Linked DNA regions of Stegostoma tigrinum. The protein of the gene in region 2 binds, or shares a complex with, the protein of the main gene of each other region. Links are inferred from orthologs where the notes say so. Each region holds a gene or a part of one and is shown on either strand. Other genes may lie near its edges. The genes, in order: rlim, ubiquitin-conjugating enzyme E2 E2 and det1.

Region 1 (7,733 bases), on a different chromosome or scaffold from region 2:
CACTGTGCAGCGTTATTGGAGGGTACTGAAAAACATACAGAAAACAAGATTGTTAAATTTGTAAAGATAATTATTGAGAACAATAAAAATCACTGGTCACGTTTTGATCAAGTACAAGGAAATCAATATACCTCACACCCAGATGGAATTAAAAACTATAAATTTACATCTATTCTAAATAAAGAATTCTTAGTACTGTACATTCATCACCCAATGCGCAAGTCTGCCATCACTGTTAATGATGTAACTTATAAATGTTAATAATCACTGAACTGTGATGGAAGAAATGGCAACTGAAAAATCGACAAAAATCTTTATTATCCCTGTAACAAAGAGTATGTGTAAGAGGGAGATACAGTTTGATTTTTTAAAATCAAAGTTGAGATAAATTCAAAGGCAACCAGTCAGAAAGTTTGAATTACTCCACAGCACATGCCCAAATTCCACGTTTCTTGCATATAGCAATCTTAGCTCTCTGTTTAGTGTACCCTCAAGCTTGAGGGAAAAAAAGTCAACAAAACAGAACAATTTGTTCACATGAAGTTTTCATTTTACAAACATCAGACATATTCTCACTTAATTATATTGCAAAGTAAACCACACCAAAAGCAATGAATAAAATGTGAGGCTGGATGAACACAGCAGGCCAAGCAGCATCTCAGGAGCACAAAAGCTGACGTTTCGGGCCTAGACCCTTCATCAGAGAGGGGGATGGGGTGAGGGTTCTGGAATTAATAGGGAGAGAGGGGGAGGCGGACCAAAGATGGAGAGAAAAGAAGATAGGTGGAGAGGAGAGTACAGGTGGGGAGGTAGGGAGGGGATAGGTCAGTCCAGGGAAGACGGACAGGTCAAGGAGGTGGGATGAGGTTAGTAGGTAGGAGATGGAGGTGCGGCTTGGGGTGGGAGGAAGGGATGGGTGAGAGGAAGAACAGGTTAGGGAGGCAGAGACAGGTTGGACTGGTTTTGGGATGCAGTGGGTGGAGGGGAAGAGCTGGGCTGGTCGTGTGGTGCAGTGGGGGGAAGGGGACGAACTGGGCTGGTTTTGGGATGCGGTGGGGGAAGGGGAGATTTTGAAGCTGGTGAAGTCCACATTGATACCATTGAGCTGCAGGGTTCCCAAGCCGAATATGAGTTGCTGTTCCTGCAACCTTCGGGGGGCATCATTGTGGCACTGCAGGAGGCCCATGATGGACATGTCATCTAAAGAATGGGAGGGGGAGTGGAAATGGTTTGCCACTGGGAGGTGCAGTTGTTTATTGCGAACCGAGCGGAGGTGTTCTGCAAAGTGGTCCCCAAGCGGAGGCTTGGGGACCGCTTTGCAGAACACCTCCGCTCGGTTCGCAATAAACAACTGCACCTCCCAGTGGCAAACCATTTCCACTCCCCCTCCCATTCTTTAGATGACATGTCCATCATGGGCCTCCTGCAGTGCCACAATGATGCCCCCCGAAGGTTGCAGGAACAGCAACTCATATTCGGCTTGGGAACCCTGCAGCTCAATGGTATCAATGTGGACTTCACCAGCTTCAAAATCTCCCCTTCCCCCACCGCATCCCAAAACCAGCCCAGTTCGTCCCCTTCCCCCCACTGCACCACACGACCAGCCCAGCTCTTCCCCTCCACCCACTGCATCCCAAAACCAGTCCAACCTGTCTCTGCCTCCCTAACCTGTTCTTCCTCTCACCCATCCCTTCCTCCCACCCCAAGCCGCACCTCCATCTCCTACCTACTAACCTCATCCCACCTCCTTGACCTGTCCGTCTTCCCTGGACTGACCTATCCCCTCCCTACCTCCCCACCTGTACTCTCCTCTCCACCTATCTTCTTTTCTCTCCATCTTTGGTCCGCCTCCCCCTCTCTCCCTATTAATTCCAGAACCCTCACCCCATCCCCCTCTCTGATGAAGGGTCTAGGCCCGAAACGTCAGCTTTTGTGCTCCTGAGCCTGCTGTGTTCATCCAGCCTCACATTTTATTATCTCGGATTCTCCAGCATCTGCAGTTCCCATTATCACAAAAGCAATGAATGCCTGTTTTACGCTATCGTCACCATTAATATCCCACTTAAGTCCAAACATACACCAACCTGAGAAAGAAGGAAGCTTCAAGACTTCGCTCAAAAGCATCATTTTTTTGTTTCAAAGCACCAGTGTATTTCTATCTTCTGCTATATTGCACTATTGACCTACATAAAGCCAGTTACGCAATCACAAAGATCGTAATGCGCCAGACTTCTATTGTAGATCAATCGGTGATTATTACCAAGGCGACAGTGAGGGGGCAAAAGGAGAACACAAAAATAAATTCGCACTAAGACAGGAAACTGAACCTGTTGACGAACCGTATTAGCATTAAAAAAACACTCATCCTTCCCTCCAGCATTCCCTCCCATAGCTCCAAGGGTAGGCAGTGACACAGGAGAAAATAGTAAATTAGCTCCGAATAATTTCATCAAGACAAACAAAAAAGACAAAGTGGCCCAACCAAAAAGAAAACAAACCGGGAGCAATCAGGCTTTAAAAATATGGAAACACCTGGTGATTTTATCTGAAGTAATTGCGCTGAGAAGGGGACTGTTTCAAAAGACGCCGACTTTTTTTTAAAAAAAGGAGGGATTGGTTTTGTAAACCGGCGGGAAGAATAAGCAGCCCGGAGTTTAGGGGAAAAAACATGGGAGATGGGGTGGTTAAACCCTCACGGAATCCCCGGCCGTCTTATCCACGCCCCGCCATGGCTGAGATTAGGCCGCAGAGCCTGGGCCTTTCCCCGGCGCCGGTTCCCCATCGGCCTGTTCACAAGCTGCCGTACGCAGCAGGGTGTGCGCGACCGGCGACAGGGAGGACAGAGAAGGGCGAGAAGAAATCAATAGGCGCCGCCAACCGCGATCTGCCAGCACCGGCCGTGAGAGCCCTCCGGCCCCGGGCGCCCTCACCTGCTCACGTCGAGTTCGATCCGTTCGGGTCGGGCCGCTCACACCGTTACCACCATTGTTAGAGTGGGAGAGACAAGCGGAAACAGGAAACCAGCGCAGTGTCCCGCCGCTTCTGTCATCCCCCCGGCAGGTGGGAACCGCTACCCAAAACCATCCCACCAGCCCGCACAACGGCTCAACTCCTGGAGAAAGATTCCGGGCACGACATCATCGCCTCTGCAAGAAAGCATGAATCAAAGCAGTTTTTTTTTACTTTAAAAGAACTGCAGTTCATATCCCTATGCATTCGATTATATTTACTGTCATATTAAAGCAGATGTTTAAATATACACAAAATAAGTACCAGGAATTTCTCAGCAACAATAAGGTGGTTGACTCTTAACTGCCCCCTGGGCATTTAGGGATAGACAATAAATGTTGGACCAGCCGGTGATGTGCTCATCTTGTGAATTAATAATAATAATAAATAAAGGCCAGACAGCAGATGTGGAGAGAATGTGATGAAATCCTCTCTTTTGTACAAATATTTTCTATTCTACTTGGTCAGAGACATACTTCTGGAGCAGGTGGGGTGTAAACCCAGGTCTGCTGGCATAAGAGCCCTGTTATTCCCAGTGTACCCCAGCAGGTTGTGAACATCGAGGGAATAGACAGGTCCAAGCACTTTCTTCATTTGAGTTCCCCTATTTAAAATTCAGTCCTGCCAAGGAACAAGATCAGGCTTGTTGCAATGAGTCGCTCAGAATATTTCATAGATTTCAAGAATTCAAGAGTTATATGTGGTTGGAGAGTGAGTAAGGGAGCCAAAAGCAGGCTCCATGAGAAATCTAATGTTGAGAACACTGCTCTTTCTGTATTGTGAAGCTCAGAGAAAAGTCTAGCAGAACATTGGATAATTCTGAGCAGCACAATGTTAGAGTCAGTGCTCTGGAATGTCTGGAAACTGAGGACCTCAGAATAAAGTTGCAGTCAATTAATACCTCACTGTAGCTGAAGATGGTGGTTGAAAATCCCAGAAATAGTATTTGCTTTGCACAGCTGAGCAAACTTAAAAGTCAAAAAATTTCAGTCAAAATGCTAACTTGGTGAAGCTATCTGTGAAAAGTTGCAATTGATCCTGACAGCAAGTGCGAGAATGCAGATTCCAAATTTTAATGAGATTTGGTGTTCTTCGGTGTCACTAGCCTTGACTGGGAGGGGGTAAATTGCTGAGAATCTGCACAATCTGATTGTAGCTGTTACGTGATATGCTCAACCACAATTATCTGCAACCCATGTAGACTTGAGTTAGTTTTCAATAATTATGACTTGATTAAGCAAGTGAGGAATTAACTATATATTAGTACCATAAGATATAGGAGCGGTATCAGGCCTTCTGGTCTACTGAGTCTGCTCACCATTCGATCATGTTTATTGAGTCACAGAGCTGTACAGCATGGAAACAGACCCTTCAGTCCAAATCATCCTTGCAAACCAGATATCTTAAATTAATTTGGAGACATTTCCCAGCATTTGGCCTGTATCCCTCTAAATCTTTCCTATTCATTTACCCATCCAGATGCCTTTTAAATGTTGTAATTGGACCAAGCTCTACCACTTCCTCTGGCATCCCATTCCATACATGCACCATCCTCTGTGTGAAAAATTTGCCCCTTAGGTACCTTTTAAATCTTTCCCCTCTCACCTCAAACTTATGCCTCTAGTTTGGACTGCACTACCCCAGGAAAAAGACCTGTCTATCCCCCTTGTCCATGGCCGTCATAATTTTATAAACTTCTATGAGGTTACCTCTCAGCCTCCAATGCTCCAGGGAAAATAGCCCCAGCCTATTCAGTCTCTCCCTATAGCTCAAGCCCTCCAACCCTGGCAACATCCTCATAAATCTTTTCTGAACCCTTTCAAGTTTCACAACATCCTTCCAGTAATAGGGAGGTCAGAAATGCATGCAGGTTTCCAAAAGTGGCCGAACCAATATCCAACCAACCAGAACATGACCTCCCAAGTCCCGTTGCACTGACCAAGAAAGGGAAGCACACTATACACCTCCTTCACTACGCTACCTATCTGTGACTCTACTTCCAAAGAACTATGAACCTGTACTCCAAGGTCTCATTGTAATAAAGTGTGAAGCTAGACAAACACAACAGGCCAGGCAGCATCTCAGGAGCACAAAAGCTGACGTTTCGGGCCTAGGCCCTTCATCAGAGAGGGGGATGGGGTGAAGGTTCTGGAATAAATAGGGAGAGAGGGGGAGGCGGACCGAAGATGGAGAGAAAAGAAGGTAGGTGGAGAGGAGAGTATAGGTGGGGAGGTGGGGAGGTGGGGAGGGGATAGGTCAGTCCAGGGAAGACAGACAGGTCAAGGAGGTGGGATGAGGTTATTAGGTAGGAGATGGAGGTGCGGCTTGGGGTGGGAGGAAGGGATGGGTGAGAGGAAGAACAGGTTAGGGAGGCAGAGACAGGTTGGACTGGTTTTGGGATGCAGTGGGTGGAGGGGAAGAGCTGGGCTGGTTGTGTGGTGCAGTCGGGGGAGGGGACGAACTGGGCTGGTTTTGGACCCAAGATGACTTTCCATATTAAGCAGAGGTTCACCTGCACATCTGCCAATGTGGTATACTGCATCCATTGTACCCGGTGTGTCTTCCTGTACATTGGGGAAACCAAGCGGAGGCTTGGGGACGGCTTTGCAGAACACCTCCACTCGGTTCGCAATAAACAACTGCACCTCCCAGTCGCAAACCATTTCCACTCCCCCTCCCATTCTTTAGATGACATGTCCATCATGAGCCTCCTGCAGTGCCACAATGATGCCACACGAAGGTTGCAGGAACAGCAACTCATATTCGGCTTGGGCACCCTGCAGCCCAATGGTATCAATGTGGACTTCACCAGCTTCAAAATCTCCCCTTCCCCCTCCGCATCCCAAAACCAGCCCAGTTCGTCCCCTCCCCCCCACTGCACCACACGACCAGCCCAGCTCTTCCCCTCCACCCACTGCATCCCAAAACCAGTCCAGCCTGTCTCTGCCTCCCTAACCTGTTCTTCCTCTCACCCATCCTTTCCTCCCACCCCAAGCCGCACCTCCATCTCCTACCTACTAACCTCATCCCATCTCCTTGACCTGTCCGTCTTCCCTGGACTGAACTATCCCCTCCCCACCTCCCCACCTATACTCTCCTCTCCACCTATCCTCTTTTCTCTCCATCCTTGGTCTGCTTCCCCCTCTCTCCCTATTTATTCCAGAACCCTCACCCCATCCCCCTCTCTGATGAAGGGTCTAGGCCCGAAACGTCAGCTTTTGTGCTCCTGAGATGCTGCTTGGCCTGCTGTGTTCATCCAGCTTCACACTTTATTATCTTGGATTCTCCAGCATCTTCAGTTCCCATTATCTCTCTCCAAGGTCTCATTGTTCAGCAACACTCTCAGCAACAATACCATGAAGTATATAAGTGCTGCCTTGACTTGCCTTTCCAAAATGCAATACCTCACATTTATTTAAATTAAACTCTGTCTGCAACACCTCAGCCCACCAGCCCATCTTATCAAGATCCCATTGTACTTTGAGGTAACCTTCCCGGCTGTCCACAACACCACCGAATTTAGTTGTCGTCTGTAAAATTACTAACCATAACCCTATGTTCACATCCAAATCATTTATATAAATGATGAATAAGCAGTGGACCCAATACCGATGTTTGAGGCATACCGCTGGTCAAAGGCCTCTAGTCCAAGAAAAAACCCTCCACCACCACACTCTGTCTCCTATCTTTAAGTAAACTCTGTATCCAATTGGCTAGTTCTATATTCCATGTGAGCTAACCTTGCTAACCAGTCTACCATGTGGAACCTTCTCGAACGCCTTACTGAAGTCCATATGGATCATGTCCACCACTTTGCCTTCATTAATCCTGTTCATTGCATATTCAAAAATATATATTTCTCAACTGCATTCTTTTGCCTTCTCCTCTTAACCATTGACCCCACTACCAATCAAGAACCTATCTACCTCTTTAAATACACTCAATGAATTGGCCTCCACAGCACTCTATAGCAATGAATTCCACAGATTCACCACATTCTGGCTAAAAAAATTTCTCAGTTCTAAAGGGTCGTGGTGAAGCGGTGCCCTCAGGCCCTAGTCTCTCCTACTAGTGGAAAATTCTTCTCCACGTCCACTGTACTCAGGCCTCTTAAGTTTCAATGAGAAACTCCACCCCCTTTCCACATCCTTCTAAACTCCCGTGCAGCACCTTATCAAAAACCTTCTGGAAATCCAAACAGATCGTATCCACTCCTGTTCCTTTGTATAATTTGCTTGTTACCTCCTCAAAGACTTTTAACAAAATTTGTCAGGTGTGACCTCCCCTTCAAGATGCCATGCTGACTCAGCCCTATTTTATCATGCACTTACAAGTACTCTGCAATCTTATCCTTATTAGCAGACTTTAATTTCCGACCAACAACAAAGTTCAGGTAACCAGTCTGTCATCTCTCATCTTCTGCCTCCCTCCTATCTTAAACAGGAGTATTACATTAGCCATTTTCTTGTCCTCTGGGACCTTCCCTGACTCCAGTGATTCCTGAAAGATCACCACCAATGTTTCCACGATTGCTTTAGCTATCTCCGTCAGAACTCTGGTAAACAGTCCATCCGGTGCAGGTGTTTTATGCATCTGCAGCTATTTCAGCTTTCCCAACACTCTCTCTTTAGAGATGACCACAACATTCACTCTGCCCCCTTGAAGTTCTGATATGTCACCACGAAGACTCATGCAAAGTACCTATTAGGTTCCTCCACCATTTC
Region 2 (7,068 bases):
AGAGTTGTGCAACTTTGGAATTCTGTGGACGCAGGAAACAGTGGAGCTCATGTTATTAAATATTTAAGGCCAAGTTACATAGTTTCTTGTTAGGCAAGCCAATAAATGTTTATTGAGAATAGATTAAGTATGGAATTTTAAACAAAGAGATCTCGTTCAATGGTGGAGCAGGTATGAGGGAGCAAATGGTCTACTTATGTTTCAATTTTGAATGTTTGTATGTTTGTAAAGAGAATTTTTTAATCAAACAAAAAAGTTGGAAAATATACAGCACCATTTCACTTTGACAAGGTAAAGTTTAATATGCTGCCAAGCTTTTCTCTTAGTCTTGGTTATGTGGTTGGGCATGGACTTTCGTTGGATTGGTTCAAATTTATGAGCAACGTATTGCAGCAATTGCTATTGCTCCCATCAAGATGGCTAATCAGGCAACTCTCCCACTTAGTTTGTCATCACACTTACAGCTAGTTCTCCTGTAACACGATAGTTGCATTTTTGTGCGGCCTCTTACTATAGAAAAATCAGCTTATAAGGAAATTGCGATACTGTACATTAGAAACCTCACATTATCCAAACAGTGTCCACTATTCCTCAATTGTGCTACACACTTTATAACAGAAATATCTGTATTGGAAGGATTTACAGAAAGACAATCAAGCAGATTGGCAAAGTTAGAAATGCACTTTCCATAGCCAGCAAATCCTGGTATGACTTAAAAGAGGAATATCTGGCCCAGAGGTAGAGACACAAGCCATTCCTAATGATGCCACACAACAAGTTGCTTTGAACTAAGAAAGCATGGCAACCATTTTGCACCTAGCCATGTTCAACAAGTAGTAATGAGATGGGTAACTAAGTAAGCAAATAACACATTACTTTTTTTGAAGCCATTTGTTGAGTAGATACTGCTGGTCAAAATATTTTCAGAACTCTGGGGCTTTCCTCAAATCTTTAATCTTAATCTTAGCCACTGAAATAGGCAGATAAAATCTTGAGTTTTACATGTCATTTGAAGACTGGGACCTTTAATAGTGTTGCGGTCTTGTAGTTTCATACAGACCAGAGGGTGTGTTTGGTGGATGAGGAAATATAGCCTGAGCACACAATCTTCAAGCAACATGAGGGTGCAACTGAACTAGGTCAGCAAGGTGAAATGTGCTCACTGTGAATCAATGGCCCATTTAAAACTACCTTCAAATTTAAACCCTTACAGAATCCAATAATTGTTTAGCTGCAGGAGTTTGGTACCAGTACAGGCACTGGTGCATGGTTAAGAGAGACTTGTGTTGGCAAAGTTTAACAGCAGAACCAAAAAAACACTAATTGTCAACCTGTAGGTCCATACTTCTATGGGGTAGCATTTGAACATGTGTTTACATTCCCATCACTAAATGTACCAAGCTGAGATAAAACTTTCACTGAAAACATTTGCCTTGCAGAGGAAATTCGATTCAAGAGAGATAAATGTCCACGCTTGCATCAGTCAAAAGAATAGAACAATAGCTCACTGGCTTCAGATCAGAAGAAAGCTATATTGTCTTGGTTCATTCTTCATCTAATTTTGCTAATAAAACATAATGGGATTCCTCCTAGGACAAACAACATGATCAGTTTCGAGTAAGTTGGTACCTTTTAGCACTAGTTGAAAGTTTAGCAGCAGTTTTACTGGAAATCTTGGCATCTTTTTTCTTGGGCTGTGGCTGTTCCCTCTCTTGTTCTTGAGGAGTACTTTCTCGCTGATCCCCATCTGAGCTGCCACTACTGGTACTGGGGCTGTCATCAGCCGTCTGCGGCTCACTGGACATCTTACTCGTTCTGGAATTTATAGCAAATATATTAATTGAGCAATACTTGAAGTTCAAGACAATCTTGTTTCAAATCATTAAAAGACACAATCCACTATCCCAACTTTTTAACCCATTTCACAAACGCTGAAACAGCTTCAAAAAACAAACGTAATTTCCAATACAGATTTGAAATCGACCGCAAGGTGTATCTAAGTTGTATCTAAAACATTCGCCGAATGTAAACATTGTTAGGTCAACATCATGTCTCTTCGTGTTTCAATTTCGACAACAGCATTGTTTTGTAACATTTATATTTTTTCCGACCAAGTATAAATCCCAACAGTTACACAAACAATACCAGCGAAGTATAAGTCGAACATTTCACAGCCACGTCAAATTGCGCTTGATGTGGTTAAATAGCAGACGGAAGGAGGTTTTAAACACCGACTGTATGTCATTTGGGGCGAAAGTGGGGGGGGGGGTCAGTTTGTCATTTGCAGAAAGTCGGATATGAGAAACTGCAAACCAGTGTGCAGTGACTGATGCTTTAAAGGCCTTGCTCGTTTCCAATATCTCCCTCACACACACAGAGAGGAATATCACACAAAAACAGCTAAACACCATCCACTCTCGACTCTAACTTTCAGGCCGGATTTGGAAACTGTCCAGTCGTTTAGAGGGGCCACTAAGTTCTATGGGGTAACGGGGAAAGAAGGAGGTGATTCTCATTTTTCTTCTTCTTCTTCCTAAAAATCTTATTACCTGAGCAGTGACTGGGGTGGGGGGGAATCGCTGTCTATGTCTTCGGGTTACGCTGAAAAATAAACAAGGAAGTAAGAAAGGAGTTGAAACAGACGGAAACCAAACGGGTTTGACTGGTGATGTTGGTGAGAAAGTGGAGGAGACACCAATCCCAAACACATGAGCAGAAGCCCCCTCTCCCCTATCTAGCTATCCGCTGCCGACGCCGCTTCTATCCTCGCTGGCGCGCGCGCACGGACTCGCTCGGTCTCCACGGAACCACATGCTCGCGCGCCCCAAAACTGAATCAGCGCTTTCGCCACCGCGCGCGCACACGCGCCTCACGAGTGCGCACACTCTCCCAGCCAGGAGCATCGCCGGGAAGGGGACACGCGGGGCGCGGCTGTGCGCGTGCTCCATTCAACCGTCGCATTCTGTCTTTGAGTGACGGCGCGAGGGCGGGCGGTTACACCTCGACTCCGCGCTGCTGATTCAGTGAGTGGGCAAGAGCCGTCTCCCTATTGATCCGTTAACAACTTCTTGATTCAGAATTCCCGCTGTCTTCCCTTTGGAGGTTCTCGGATCTTTCAGGATTAGTCCGGTGACCACCGCCCGCCAGCTGCCCTCCTGTTAGGGATCCTATTCCCAACCAAAAGGTGCAGATTTTGCATGTGACTCCCAGAGAAACAGCAGTTCGGTCCCTGTTCTAAAGTAGTTTGTTCTTCTGACTTTTTAAAAAAAAAATAGCAAAACGATTAATTAATTCTATGGTGCCAGGCTAACTGCTTATTTTCGACATGGGGTGTGAGAGTGAAGGGAAATGACTGGAATGGCTACATCCAGTAAACACGCTGAGTCCTTGCGTCAAATTTCTCAGACTACCGCGATCATCATCTCAATCCAACACTTACTCCAGAAACAGTCAGTGGGAGACTTGGCGCATCGCAGTCAATGATATACATGCTGCACTGAGCATCGTCAGATTTGATTCATTCTGGTGATGTTTAGGAGCTGTCAATTCAGGTTGCTAGCCTGATCTAAATGCAGGGACAATAATTACATAAATTGAACAAATTCTGAAACAAACATAAATGCTGAAATCTGTTTGGTGCGGTGGTTTCTGACATTGTCTGAAATTCAATCTGAGACAACAGTTGGAATTGTTCGAATAGGATGACAACGAACCAACCTATACCTAAGGGAATGTTAAATTTATTACGATCTTGTGATGGAATGTTAAAACTCTTTGTGAAAGGTCTTTTTAAAATGTAACTTTCCTTCATGTGTGTTAGAAATAAATACAACTTGTTTTGTTTAAGTATATTTATAGCCTCTCTTGTGAAAAAAGTCTTAAATTTATGAGAGTACCTATCTCATTTTTCAGAAATATCTCAGAGCACTTTACAGAGAATTAAATACTTTGGAGAGGAGCTATGTATAGCTAATTGACAGAACCATAAAATTATTTCTATGCAAAAGGAGCCCATTTGGCCAATTGTGCCTGCACAGGCTCTTCAATTGAGTACTACAAGAGATGAGGACTGTCTTTCTGTCTCAGATGGTTGTATGTCTTTGAAATTCTTCCTCAAAAAGCAGTGAAAGACTTTTAAAGAAAATGCCAGATAGATCCTTGGCAAGCAATGGAGTTTAAGGTTATTGGGAGTAGTTGGAAATGTGGATTTGAGGTTTCAATCAGAATAGCCACAACCTTATTAAATGCCTGTGCAGACTTTAGGGGACATGTGGCCCATTCCTGCTCTGAACCCATATGTTCTTATGTACTGATCTATTGAACTCTGAACTGAGCTCAATCCAATGTCTTCTGCCTCACCAAGATCACCTCCTCCTTCCATTTCTGTAAATTGTTCACTTTTATCCCTGTCTCAGCTCACCAGCTACTGCAACACTAATTTGTGCTTTTGTTACCTCCATGCTTGACTATTCCAATGCTATCTTGGATAGCCCACCATCTCCCATTTTCCACCATTATAAACTTCAACAGGAGTCTAAGTGGCTATTTCTTATAGAATAATAGACCTGAAAGTGCCAATACGTGTACAGCACAGATATTCAATTTCTAAACATCTCTTTCCTGCACTTTTACCTCTCTTCCGTCAAGTATCTATTTTTGGTTGCTTTCTGTTTCTTATACACACGCTGCCACTTAGAAAGAACATCTGAAAATGCAGTTTCAGTTTTCACATGTATACCCATGACACCCAGCTTACCACACCACTGCTCACCCAACTCCTCCACTGTCTCTAAATTATCAGTCCTCTTGTTTTCTGGATACAGTACTAGATGAACAGAAATTTCACCAATTAAATATTGGGCAGACTGAAGTATTCAATCCCTGCCCCAAATTTAATTCCATAACCACTGAATTTGTTTCTCTCACTGACAGTTACCTGAGACTGAAATAGACTGTTTGCAATCTTAGTGTCAAATTTCATTTTGAGATGAATCCTTGATGGCATAGCCATACTATCACTGAAACCACTTATTTCCATAACATTGTCCACCTCTGCCCCTAACTCATCTCATCTGTTGAGGATGCCCTCATTTAAAACTTTGTTACCTCTAGACTTGGCTATCCCAGATACACTTGACTGGCGTTGCCCATTCTATGTTCTTTAAACTTGAGGTCATTGTAAACTCTGTTGCTCAAATTCTAACTCACACCAAGTCCAGTTTAATCATCATTGCTGTACTAGCTGACCTGCATTGGCTACAGGTCTAGCAAGCCCTTATTTTTGAAATTCTCATTCTTGTTCTCAAATATACCTCCATGGCCTTGCTCATCCAAATCCCAATAATTTGCTCCAACCCTTCAATACTCTGCACTTCTCTAATTCAGCATCTTGAGCATTCCTAAGGTAATGGCTCCAGTATCGATGGTCTTAAGCTCTGAAATTTCTTTCCTCAACCTCACTTCTTTTATTAAAGATACGTCTTAAATCCTACCTTTTGATCTGGCTTTAGGGAATGGTGCCTAAAATTTCTTTATATGGCCGGTTCTCAAATTTTACCTTATAATGCTTCCGAGAAATGGCTTATACATTTTGTAATGTTAAAAGTGCTAGATTAAATCAGTATGTTGCTGTAGCTGTCTCCAACAAAGCTGCACTACAGATGTGAAGACAATTTGATGTTCAAAGGTGACTAAAAAGACAATCTGCTTTATTCAATACAGGGAACAATTTTTACCATTGACTAATTGGAGAAAAATATCTGGTCAATACAATTGTGTAAGATGGCTGGACTATCCCAGAGTTCAAAGTATCAGCAATCCGTTCATATAACCAGTTCAACTTCAGGCGCATAACATTGCTTCCTGTATCAATCAAATAAGATTTTGTTTTGGCAATACTTGGTTTTTATAAGGTCACCAGAGCAAACATGCATGGAATCATGTCCACTTTATCAAAACTCTCACAAGACCTTTATTTTAAGACACCCATCCATTAATTTACGAAAAAAGACAGAAAAATCCTTACAGGGTGTTTTGTCCATTAAGTCTCCCTTGTACATCACTGAACTCATATCTGCCCAACCTACCCAATGTTGAATAGGTATCAAATCTGGGAAAATTAAACAAAGTAGTTTTCAGATGTTGTATGTGACTCTGAACAAGTAAAAGGCTCTGAGTAATATTCATTCGGACGGTCAGTTGAGCTTCAGGAAATCACGGTGACCTTGACAATTGGCAAACCTTGAACATAGCACCAAACCTGTGCCGTACTTATTTAAAGAGAAAGAATGAAAGCTTGACTCTGAGAAAACATCTACAACCATGGCTTTTGACATCTTTTACCAAACAATAAGTACCATTCAGGTACAATGAAGTTTATCATTCAATTGTGTCAGCAATTGGTGACGTGGTTACCTCTGAATCAAAAGTTGGGTTCAAGATAAAATGAATACAAGTTGAATACAAAATGAAACAGCCCTCCAGTTCGGTACTGAGAGTATACTACATTATTGGAGATGTTGTACATCAGATCAGAATTTAAAATGATGCCCCATCTGTGCTGTCAGATCCTATGGCATATTTGAAGAAGAGCAGCGGATTTACCTCTGTTGTCCCAGCTAATATTTAGCCTTAAATCAATATTGGGAAAGCATATATTTCTACTTACTTGAACAATCAGTATCGGCAAACAAAGGAACATAAGCACAAAATGTTAGAAATCACATGTTCCCTTCAGGACAGGAATGCTGAGATAACAAGATGTAGAGCTGGATGAACACAGCAGGCCAAGCAGCATCAGAGGAGCAGGAAAGCTGACGTTTCGGGCCTGGACCGAAAGGTCTGAAGAAGGTTCCAGGCCTGAAACGTCAGCCATTCTGTTCCTCAGATGCTGCTTGGCCTGCTGTGTTCATCCAGCTCTACACCTTGTTATTTCAGATTCTCCAGCATCTGCAGTTCCTACTATCTCAGGAAAGGAATGCTCCTCAGCTACAGTTGGCTCCTTGCTCTGGGTATTCACATATGTTGGAGCAAATTCATTTGATCTGAAATCTAGCAGGCATCAGGTTC
Region 3 (7,702 bases), on a different chromosome or scaffold from region 2:
ACCAGCAGCCGATGCTTTAAAGAGTTCAACGTTTTCTCCTTAAAAGGGCGTGACGGGGCATTTTGCGTGTCACCCTGCACTTCAGGATACACGGCTGAAACAGTGAGGAGGTCATCTTCATAACAGAAGCGCCCAATGGTTCGAACATCGATGAAAGTTCCTTCTGGGGTAACTTGGAACACATGAATGGTCTGATGCTGCACAGAGAGGATAGCCAAGATATTCTTATACAGGTAGAGCCCTTGGTTGTGCGAGAGAATGACCTTGTCGCACTTAAAGGTCCTCGTGTCACAAAGACTCCCTGTGTGCAGGTCAATGATGTGCAGAGAGTAATCTTCTAACGGTGAGCGAGGGTTTGGTGTAACAGACTCATTGTTTCGGTAAACGTCAAAGAAGAGAGGATGAGGCTCCTCAGGGAGATAAGCAGCAGAGCCAACAATGACATACCGGCAATCATCAGTAAACAAACTGCACTCACGATTCAGGTGCTCCCCATTCGACGCTACGCTAGTGACGTGCAGCAGGACAAAGAAGCGCTCAAACAATTTGCCGCGGATGTTGACAGACTGCAGATCATTGGCACCATTCAGCATGATCTCCCCATCGTAGCCCTGAAGGAGGTCCTCAGCTGCCTGACAGCCCTGGTATTCATAGATCTCCAATGAGGTTTGGTCCAGGGAAAATGCAATGAAATAGCGGCCATCAGGAGAGAACTTACGCAGGAAACACGGCGGCTTTTCTACGTTAACCACAGTGAAGTTGGGAAACACATTCTGATGCAGGCAACGCACCATGTACCAGTGAGCTCCAGGCCTGCCGGAATAGATCCTCCGGCGCTCCAGGCGGTAAACAACATTCTGATTCTCGATGCGACGAGGTTTGATGGTGGGTTCATCATCATCCATTCTCAGCCATCACCACATCTTGTAAAACAAAGAACTGCGAATGCTGGAAATCTGAAAAAAAAACAGAAATTGCTGGAGAAACTCAGCAAGTCTGGCAGCATCTGTAAAGAGAAGCAAAATTAACGTTTCAAGTCCAGCGACCTTCTTCAGAACCATATGTTGTATCTACACCAGTAAACGGAATACTGAAAAGCAGAGTCTGTCATCTAGTCAGTAATCAGAATATCAGAAAGAAAATATAAATAAGCAGGATTCTCTCTGAATCATTGTCTGTTATTTATCCAATGAGTACTTGTCTACCTTTTGCTTGATGCATTAGAGAGGGCACAGGAAAGGTGTTGTTCCAGGGATGAGGCTCTGCAGTAATGAGGATAGATTACAGGAGCAGGACTATAGCCTTTAGAGAAAGTTGAGAGGAGATTTGATGGAGATGTTTAAGAACATGAGTGATCGAGACAGAACAATGATGACAAACTGTCCCCATATCCAAAAGGATCAAGATCCACAGAACATCGATTTGAAGTGACTGGCGAAAGAACCAAAGATAAACTTTTTTTTAAAGCGGTGAGTGGCTCAGATCTGGGAAGTACAATCTAAGGGTATGATGGACACAGATTCAACTATAAATTTCAAAAGGGCATTGGATAACTATCTGTTAAAAAAAAATTGCAAGGCTACAGGGGGGACAAAAAGGCATAAGACTAGCTGAAATGCTCTTGCAAATATGGACACAATGGCCTCCTTTGTACTGCAACCATTTATGATGGTCCAGCAGTTAATAAATTGCTACATATGCAGGTTTGAAATTTTGTTCTTTACCTAGTGGAAATTTTAAAAAAACAGACCATTACGAATTATGTCCTCCTAAACACAGGCTGATCCAAAGAAAGCATTTTGAACAGTGCAATACATGAGTACTGGGGGTAAAGTCCAACACTAGTGGTGGCATGAAGTTAAAATATCCTTTAAAACAACCTATTTCTTCCATTCCATTGTGTTGCTTTTGCCTTACATCCAACGTACTGTCAATTCTCACAGTCATTACACTGAATCACATCATATAAAGACCAATGCCTGGCTTGTATGAATGGCGCAGTTTTACTTCTAAAAATCCTTCTTACCATATCAAGAAGCAGCCTCTAAGGATACAAAGGTTTGATTAAGAATATAACAATAGCTGTGTCTCCTACACTAAACAAATTTAAAGGATTTTTCCCAAGCCAACACTATATTAGCCACCTTCCGGTCTGTGGCTACTACTCTTATTTTCAATAATCTTGAATGATGTCCAATCACCCCAAGCGAACCTTCTCAGCCTATGTGTGATTACCCAATTTGAATCCCAGATTTCCTTTCAGTGGATTCTTTTCTAATCTTTTCTTTTTTCAATCCCACCATACGTTCTCAAAAAAAGGAATTTAACTGCTGCTCAAGAGATCCTGACGTGCTACAACTCTACATTTGGCAGAAAAGTCAAATGTAATCTTACCTACAGAATGCTGAAGTGAGCATGTGAATGGCCTTTTGGGTAGATATTCGCAACCAGTTCTGTTGATGTGAGCATGAGAAAAATGGTGCACCAAATACATGGACCTCTCTTGCCAGTTAGTCAATAAGCTTGAAAAAGAAAATATAGATATTTTCTAATGAACCTGTTCAGATGTGTTCTGAAACATCACTGGGGCAGACTGGGCTTGAATCCGGGCCTCCTAGCTCGGAGGTAGGGACCCTACAACTACTTCACCCCTTTTTTAATCCCTACAAATGAGCAGCAATCTTCAATTTTAACACTTTGAGAACGTGATTCATGAAGAAATGGGCAGATACATGCAGGCTTTGGCTGTCAAACTAATGAAACAAACTTACAGATTAATTGTTAACCGTTCTGCACAGAAAGAGGACAACCACCAGACAATCAAAGAAGCTCATACAAGGCCAGCTCCCGTCCTTGGCGCTCCCAAACAGTGACCCTGGGCTGATGTGTCCCACAGCCGAATGTCTACTATCAGGGCACTCCCTCACTCTCTCCTCGGGGCCTACCACACTCACCTCATCCACACGGTACAATAGCCAGGCCAGAGATCCCGTTCACCGCCCAGCTCCTCACCAACTCCAAAGTACAGCGCGGCAGCCCCTAGAGAGAGTCATCCAGCTCCGGGCAGCCTATCCTACAATGCACCGCGCATCCGCAGCGCCCCCCCAAAGAAGACAAGGGACTTTCACCCTGCACTTTCCACGTTCTGCCTTTAGAGGGCGCTCCAGCCTCTCTCTCTCCATTTTTCTGTTGTCACCAATCCGTTGGAGCCAGAGTAAATCAACGAAATCAACAATATGTCTAATTTTTCACCCTTACCCCACTTTTACCCTTTCCTCACCCGAAACACTGACCTAGGTTAGGGTACAATGTTGTGCGAATAGCCACAGTACATCATTGGCAAAGTCAAATAATGACAAATTACGACCTGAGGGAAGTAAGTTCTAATGAATCCTGCCCAACTTTGTCTCTGCAAATAGAGTAAGTAGTTAATAAATATTTGTTATTGTTGAAAAGAACACATATTGCCACAGTTTTCATTTTGCACACATCAGGACAATTTGCATGAATACCAATTCAAAGGGACAACCAGCTGGGGCCTTCTCTACTACAATTGACTGAAAGCCTGCCTCCACTGGTCAATGCACATGTTGCAATCTCACAGTTCCATGTACTATAAGATTGGTTTTATCAGAAACCTTGTAAATGGGGCCTGAGCCAATCATCAAAGTCCAAACTTGATGCTGAAATTGTGTGGATCAAAGTCATACTGTTTGTTGGCAGGATCAGACTATTTCTTGCTGTCTATCATGCAAACTCATGAAAAGTCCTAAAGTAGTTACTTGTAGATCTGAGAAGTGCCTTGTTTGCCTCAGATTACCCATAAAGGGTAAGATGTCTCAAAGATTTAAGCAACACATGAAGCCCACAGATTTCTCAGCAATCCCCTAGGTGTTAGTGACATTGTAGATCAGCAAATCTCATTAAAACATTGTCTCCCTGACAAGGAATTCCAGTTCTTACTCTGGAATATCTTGCTTTGTCATTGACTGCCCTCAATGACTCCTTAAAGCCAGGCATTTTAATCTCTTTCCCCAATATCCTGTTCCACTGGATTCTGGAGATTGCCCTCCAATACCTACACACAGGTGTATTTATAACTATTCACACACAGCCAGTTTTGCTAAGTTTAGAATTGTCCCCAGTTACTTAAAGCTCAAATATTACTTTAGCTCTATCAAACAAATACCACCTGTGGCCCACCTTCAGTGCATACTTAAGTTCACTGAACTAGCAATGATTTCTTGACTTCCTCCAAGGCCCCATTGCTCTGATGGTTCCCACAACTGCATCTGAGCCCTAATCCCAACTCTTTAGCTTGCTGTGTTCATCCAGCTTCACACCATGTTATCTCAGATTCTCCGGCATCGGCAGTTTCTACTATTTCTTTATTACATCTACTGGCTCCAAGGTTCTCTGAGCCCTATCTTTCTGGATCCTACTACAGCAGCCTCATTTTTGCTGTGGGCCCTCTTCCTCTGCCCCTCTCTACCTTACTGAACTGCAGCCCAAAGGTAGCAACCTTCTGCTTCACCTGCCTCCACATAACTAATTAAAAACTGCCTGCTGTGTAAACATTGAACTGTTTTGAGTGACCTCATGAAACACTGAGCCCCAGCTTTGTTCCTGAGTAAGACTGAATGCAGCAAGCATTGGAACATCACATGCCTATGGAGCAGTTCATTGGGCCATTAGCCCACACAACACAAATGGATATAAACAAAATGGATTTCATCACAATGTCTTGCCAATTCTGTGAGTTAACTGGCATGAAACATACATCATTCCATAACATACTTCTTGTGTTGCACATTCTAATCATTCTGTTATCCTAAGTACTACAATGCAGCTTGTATGTTATTCCATCTTGTGCATTACCATGTGTGCATTCAGGTGAGGATGAGACGCAAATGGCAGCCTTGATCAAAACTGCATTTGACTAAATGTTGTATCAATGAGCCCTAATAAAATTGCAGCCAATGAGAATCAGGGGGAAACTTCACTGCTTGGAGTCTTACCTGGCACATAGGAAGATGGCCGTGGCATTTGAAGGTCAGTCATCTCAACTCCAGGACATCTCTCTGCAGAAGTTCTTCAGGATAGTGTCCTAGTCCCAACCACATTCAGCTACTTCAACAATGATCTTCCCTCCATCATAGGATTAGAAGCAGGGAAGTTCAACACCATTCACAACTTCTTAGATACTGAAGTAGTCTACATTCAAATCCTCCAAGAAGTGGACAATATCCAAACGTGGTCTGAAAAGTGACAAGTGTCATTTGTGTATCACAAATGCCAGGGAATAACCACCTCCAGTAAGAGACAATCTAACAACCAACCTTTTATATTAAATGGAGTTACCATCAATGATCCCTTACTTTCAACATTATATTGCTGACCAGAAACTCAACTGAACTCACTGTGTACATAAGATAATAAAGTGTGAAGCTGGATGAACACAGCAGGCTAAGCAGCATCTCAGGAGCACAAAAGCTGACATTTCAGACCTAGACCCTTCATCGGAGGTCTAGGCCCGAAACGTCAGCTTTTGTGCTCCTGAGATGCTGCTTGGCCTGCTGTGTTCATCCAGCCCACACTTTGTTATCTTGGATTCTCGAGCAACTGCAGTTCCCATTATCACTGTGTACATACATGGTTACACGAACAGGTAAGAGGATAGGAATACTGTAGCAAGTAACTTTACTCCTGAATCCCCAATGCTTGTCCAACATCTCCAAGGCACAAGTGAGGAGTATGATGGAATACTCCCCACTTGCCTGGATTGCTGCAACAACACTCAAGAAACTCAATACCATCCAGATCAAAGCAGCCAATTTGATTGACACCACATCCACAAACATTCAATCACTCACCCACCATTGATGCTCAGTAGCAGCAGTGTGTATTACAAGATGCACTGCAGAAATTCTCCAAAGATCGTTAAGACAACAACTTCAAAACTCATAATCACTTCCTTCTAGAAGGACATGGGCAGCAGACAAATGGGAACACGACCACCTGCAAACTCCCCTCCAAGCCAATCACCATCCTGACTTGGAAATATATCTCCAATCCTTCCATGTTGCTGTGTCAAAATGCAGCAGTTCAAGAAGACAGCTCGCCACCACCTTTTCAATCACAACTAAGGACAGGCAGTAATTGCCGGCCTAGCCTCTGTCACCCATGTCCTTTTAGGGAATTAAACAAGGATACACTGTGCATTATCCTATGTGCTGTCCACTTCAGCTCGTATCATTGGTGTGCAGTGCCAACCAGATATTGTCCAGAGTGTAATAATTTCCATGCTTTGCGAAAGACATTTCATCCTGTCTGTCACGTATTTATAAATTACTATTCCATAATATACTGTCAAATTTATGTTTTCTGAGATGTTACATTTCTAACCAGTGTGTAATACATTTGAGATTGTGTGTTACCCTCTCTCTATTGCATATATTGTAATAGTTTCACTCCTGTGTTTGACACAACAGTCTAGCAAGGGCTAGGTACTCTGAAACTAGTGGCTAACCTCACAATGGTCCTCAAGACTCATATTCAGAGTAATAAAATATGACACTCACCTAGAATCCTGCAGATACAACATCACTCAAATTAAAGCTTAATGCCACCCAGACACAAATCACTATAACTGCTCGCCTCACCACCCTCTGTTTGAAGCACTGTGTGCAATCTATAGAATACCTTTCAACAATGCCCCTTCTACTTCAAAAGCACCTACAGCCCTGCAACCTTGACCACAAAGAGTGAACAACAAAGGTTCATCAGCTGAGTGTTCCCCATTAAGTCACACATAAATCTGTCTTGGATAAATAGCATCCCCCTCTCATCACTCCTGGGTCGAGGTCTTGCAGTTCACAGCATCAGCCACAATGGTGGGAGCATTACAACAGCTACAACAATCCAAGAAGAAGGTCAAGTGCCACCTTCTCAAAGCAACCAAAGATCAGTACTGAACACAGTTCTGACAGCATGCTATGGATGAATTAAATCAGAATCTAGTTATCCAGAATGTAACACACTCCAATCTATGATGAGTGACAACAGCTATGACCAGCCACAGTCAGGGGAATAGTCACCAAGCAGCATACTCATTGCTTACAGGCAGTGTCATCAAATATTTTAAAGGCAGAGGTAGATAGATTCACTAATAAGGGAGTCAATGATTATCAAAGGGATAGCAGGGAAAATGGAGTTGTACAGTCAGATCAATCACAGGCTTATTGAATGGTGGAGTAGGTTTGAAGGGCTGAATAGCATTCTTGTGGTCCTAATTCGCCTGTTTGTACAATCACTCTTCAGTGAATGCCTCCTGTTCGAAGTCCATAGATTCCCTATAGTGCAGATGGAGGTCATTTGGCCCATCAAGTCTACACTAACCCTCTGAAGAGCATCCTGCTCAGACCCAAAGCTGCACCCTATTCTTGTAAACCAGTATTTATCACAGCTATCCACCTAGCCTGCACATCACTATGGGATAATTTAGCACGGCCAATGTACCTACCCTGCACGTCTTTGGACTGTGGTTGGAAACTGGTCCACCCGGTGGAAATCCACACAGACACTGGGAGAATATACAAACTCCACACACAAGGCTGGAGCCAAATCTGAGTCCCTGTTGCTGGGAGGCAGCAGTGCTAACCATTGAGCCACCATGCTACCTAAAGTTGCTTGTGAATCGGAA

Evidence for each region.
Region 1: the proteins of ubiquitin-conjugating enzyme E2 E2 (region 2) and rlim are in contact, whole or in part, in a crystal structure (PDB 6W9A), measured with the Homo sapiens proteins. The link is inferred for Stegostoma tigrinum from reciprocal best matches to the Homo sapiens genes UBE2E2 and RLIM. Residues at the interface, in NP_001357154.1 of Homo sapiens: Lys52, Thr55, Lys58, Arg59, Lys62, Pro112, Asp113, Pro115, Phe116, Ile142, Asn146, Trp147, Ser148, Pro149, Ala150, Leu151, Thr152; in NP_057204.2 of Homo sapiens: Ser571, Val572, Cys573, Ile574, Thr575, Cys596, Arg599, Trp600, Pro608, Ile609, Arg611.
Region 3: the proteins of ubiquitin-conjugating enzyme E2 E2 (region 2) and det1 are in contact, whole or in part, in a cryo-EM structure (PDB 9BJZ), measured with the Homo sapiens proteins. The link is inferred for Stegostoma tigrinum from reciprocal best matches to the Homo sapiens genes UBE2E2 and DET1. Residues at the interface, in NP_001357154.1 of Homo sapiens: Ala77, Gly78, Pro79, Lys80, Gly81, Arg88, Ser89, Thr90, Gly101, Val103, Phe105, Phe123, Arg124, Thr125, Arg126, Ser134, Gln135, Gly136, Gln194, Trp195, Arg198, Tyr199, Ala200, Thr201; in NP_001137546.1 of Homo sapiens: Arg258, Phe259, Tyr261, Asp264, Thr267, Val268, Phe272, Glu274, Asp289, Pro290, Phe291, Ile292, His297, Arg298, Leu300, Val301, Trp304, Arg305, Phe319, Phe320, Gln321, Phe323, Asp324, Arg327.

What each region holds. Positions count from the first base shown.
Region 1 is NC_081368.1:21,549,847-21,557,579, forward strand, and holds the start of rlim (E3 ubiquitin-protein ligase RLIM), read right to left. Parts: upstream 3,052-7,733; 5' UTR 2,931-3,051; intron 26-2,930; exon of another isoform or gene 1-25. UniProt on the Homo sapiens protein: E3 ubiquitin-protein ligase.
Region 2 is NC_081355.1:65,292,585-65,299,652, forward strand, and holds the start of ubiquitin-conjugating enzyme E2 E2, read right to left. Parts: upstream 3,087-7,068; 5' UTR 3,001-3,086; intron 2,806-3,000; exon of another isoform or gene 2,602-2,805; 5' UTR 2,550-2,601; intron 1,816-2,549; 5' UTR 1,806-1,815; coding exon 1,630-1,805; intron 1-1,629.
Region 3 is NC_081386.1:24,626,259-24,633,960, forward strand, and holds the start of det1 (DET1 homolog), read right to left. Parts: upstream 3,066-7,702; 5' UTR 2,955-3,065; intron 2,523-2,954; 5' UTR 2,399-2,522; exon of another isoform or gene 2,395-2,398; intron 1,007-2,394; exon of another isoform or gene 957-1,006; 5' UTR 906-956; coding exon 1-905. UniProt on the Homo sapiens protein: Component of the E3 ubiquitin ligase DCX DET1-COP1 complex, which is required for ubiquitination and subsequent degradation of target proteins. The complex is involved in JUN ubiquitination and degradation.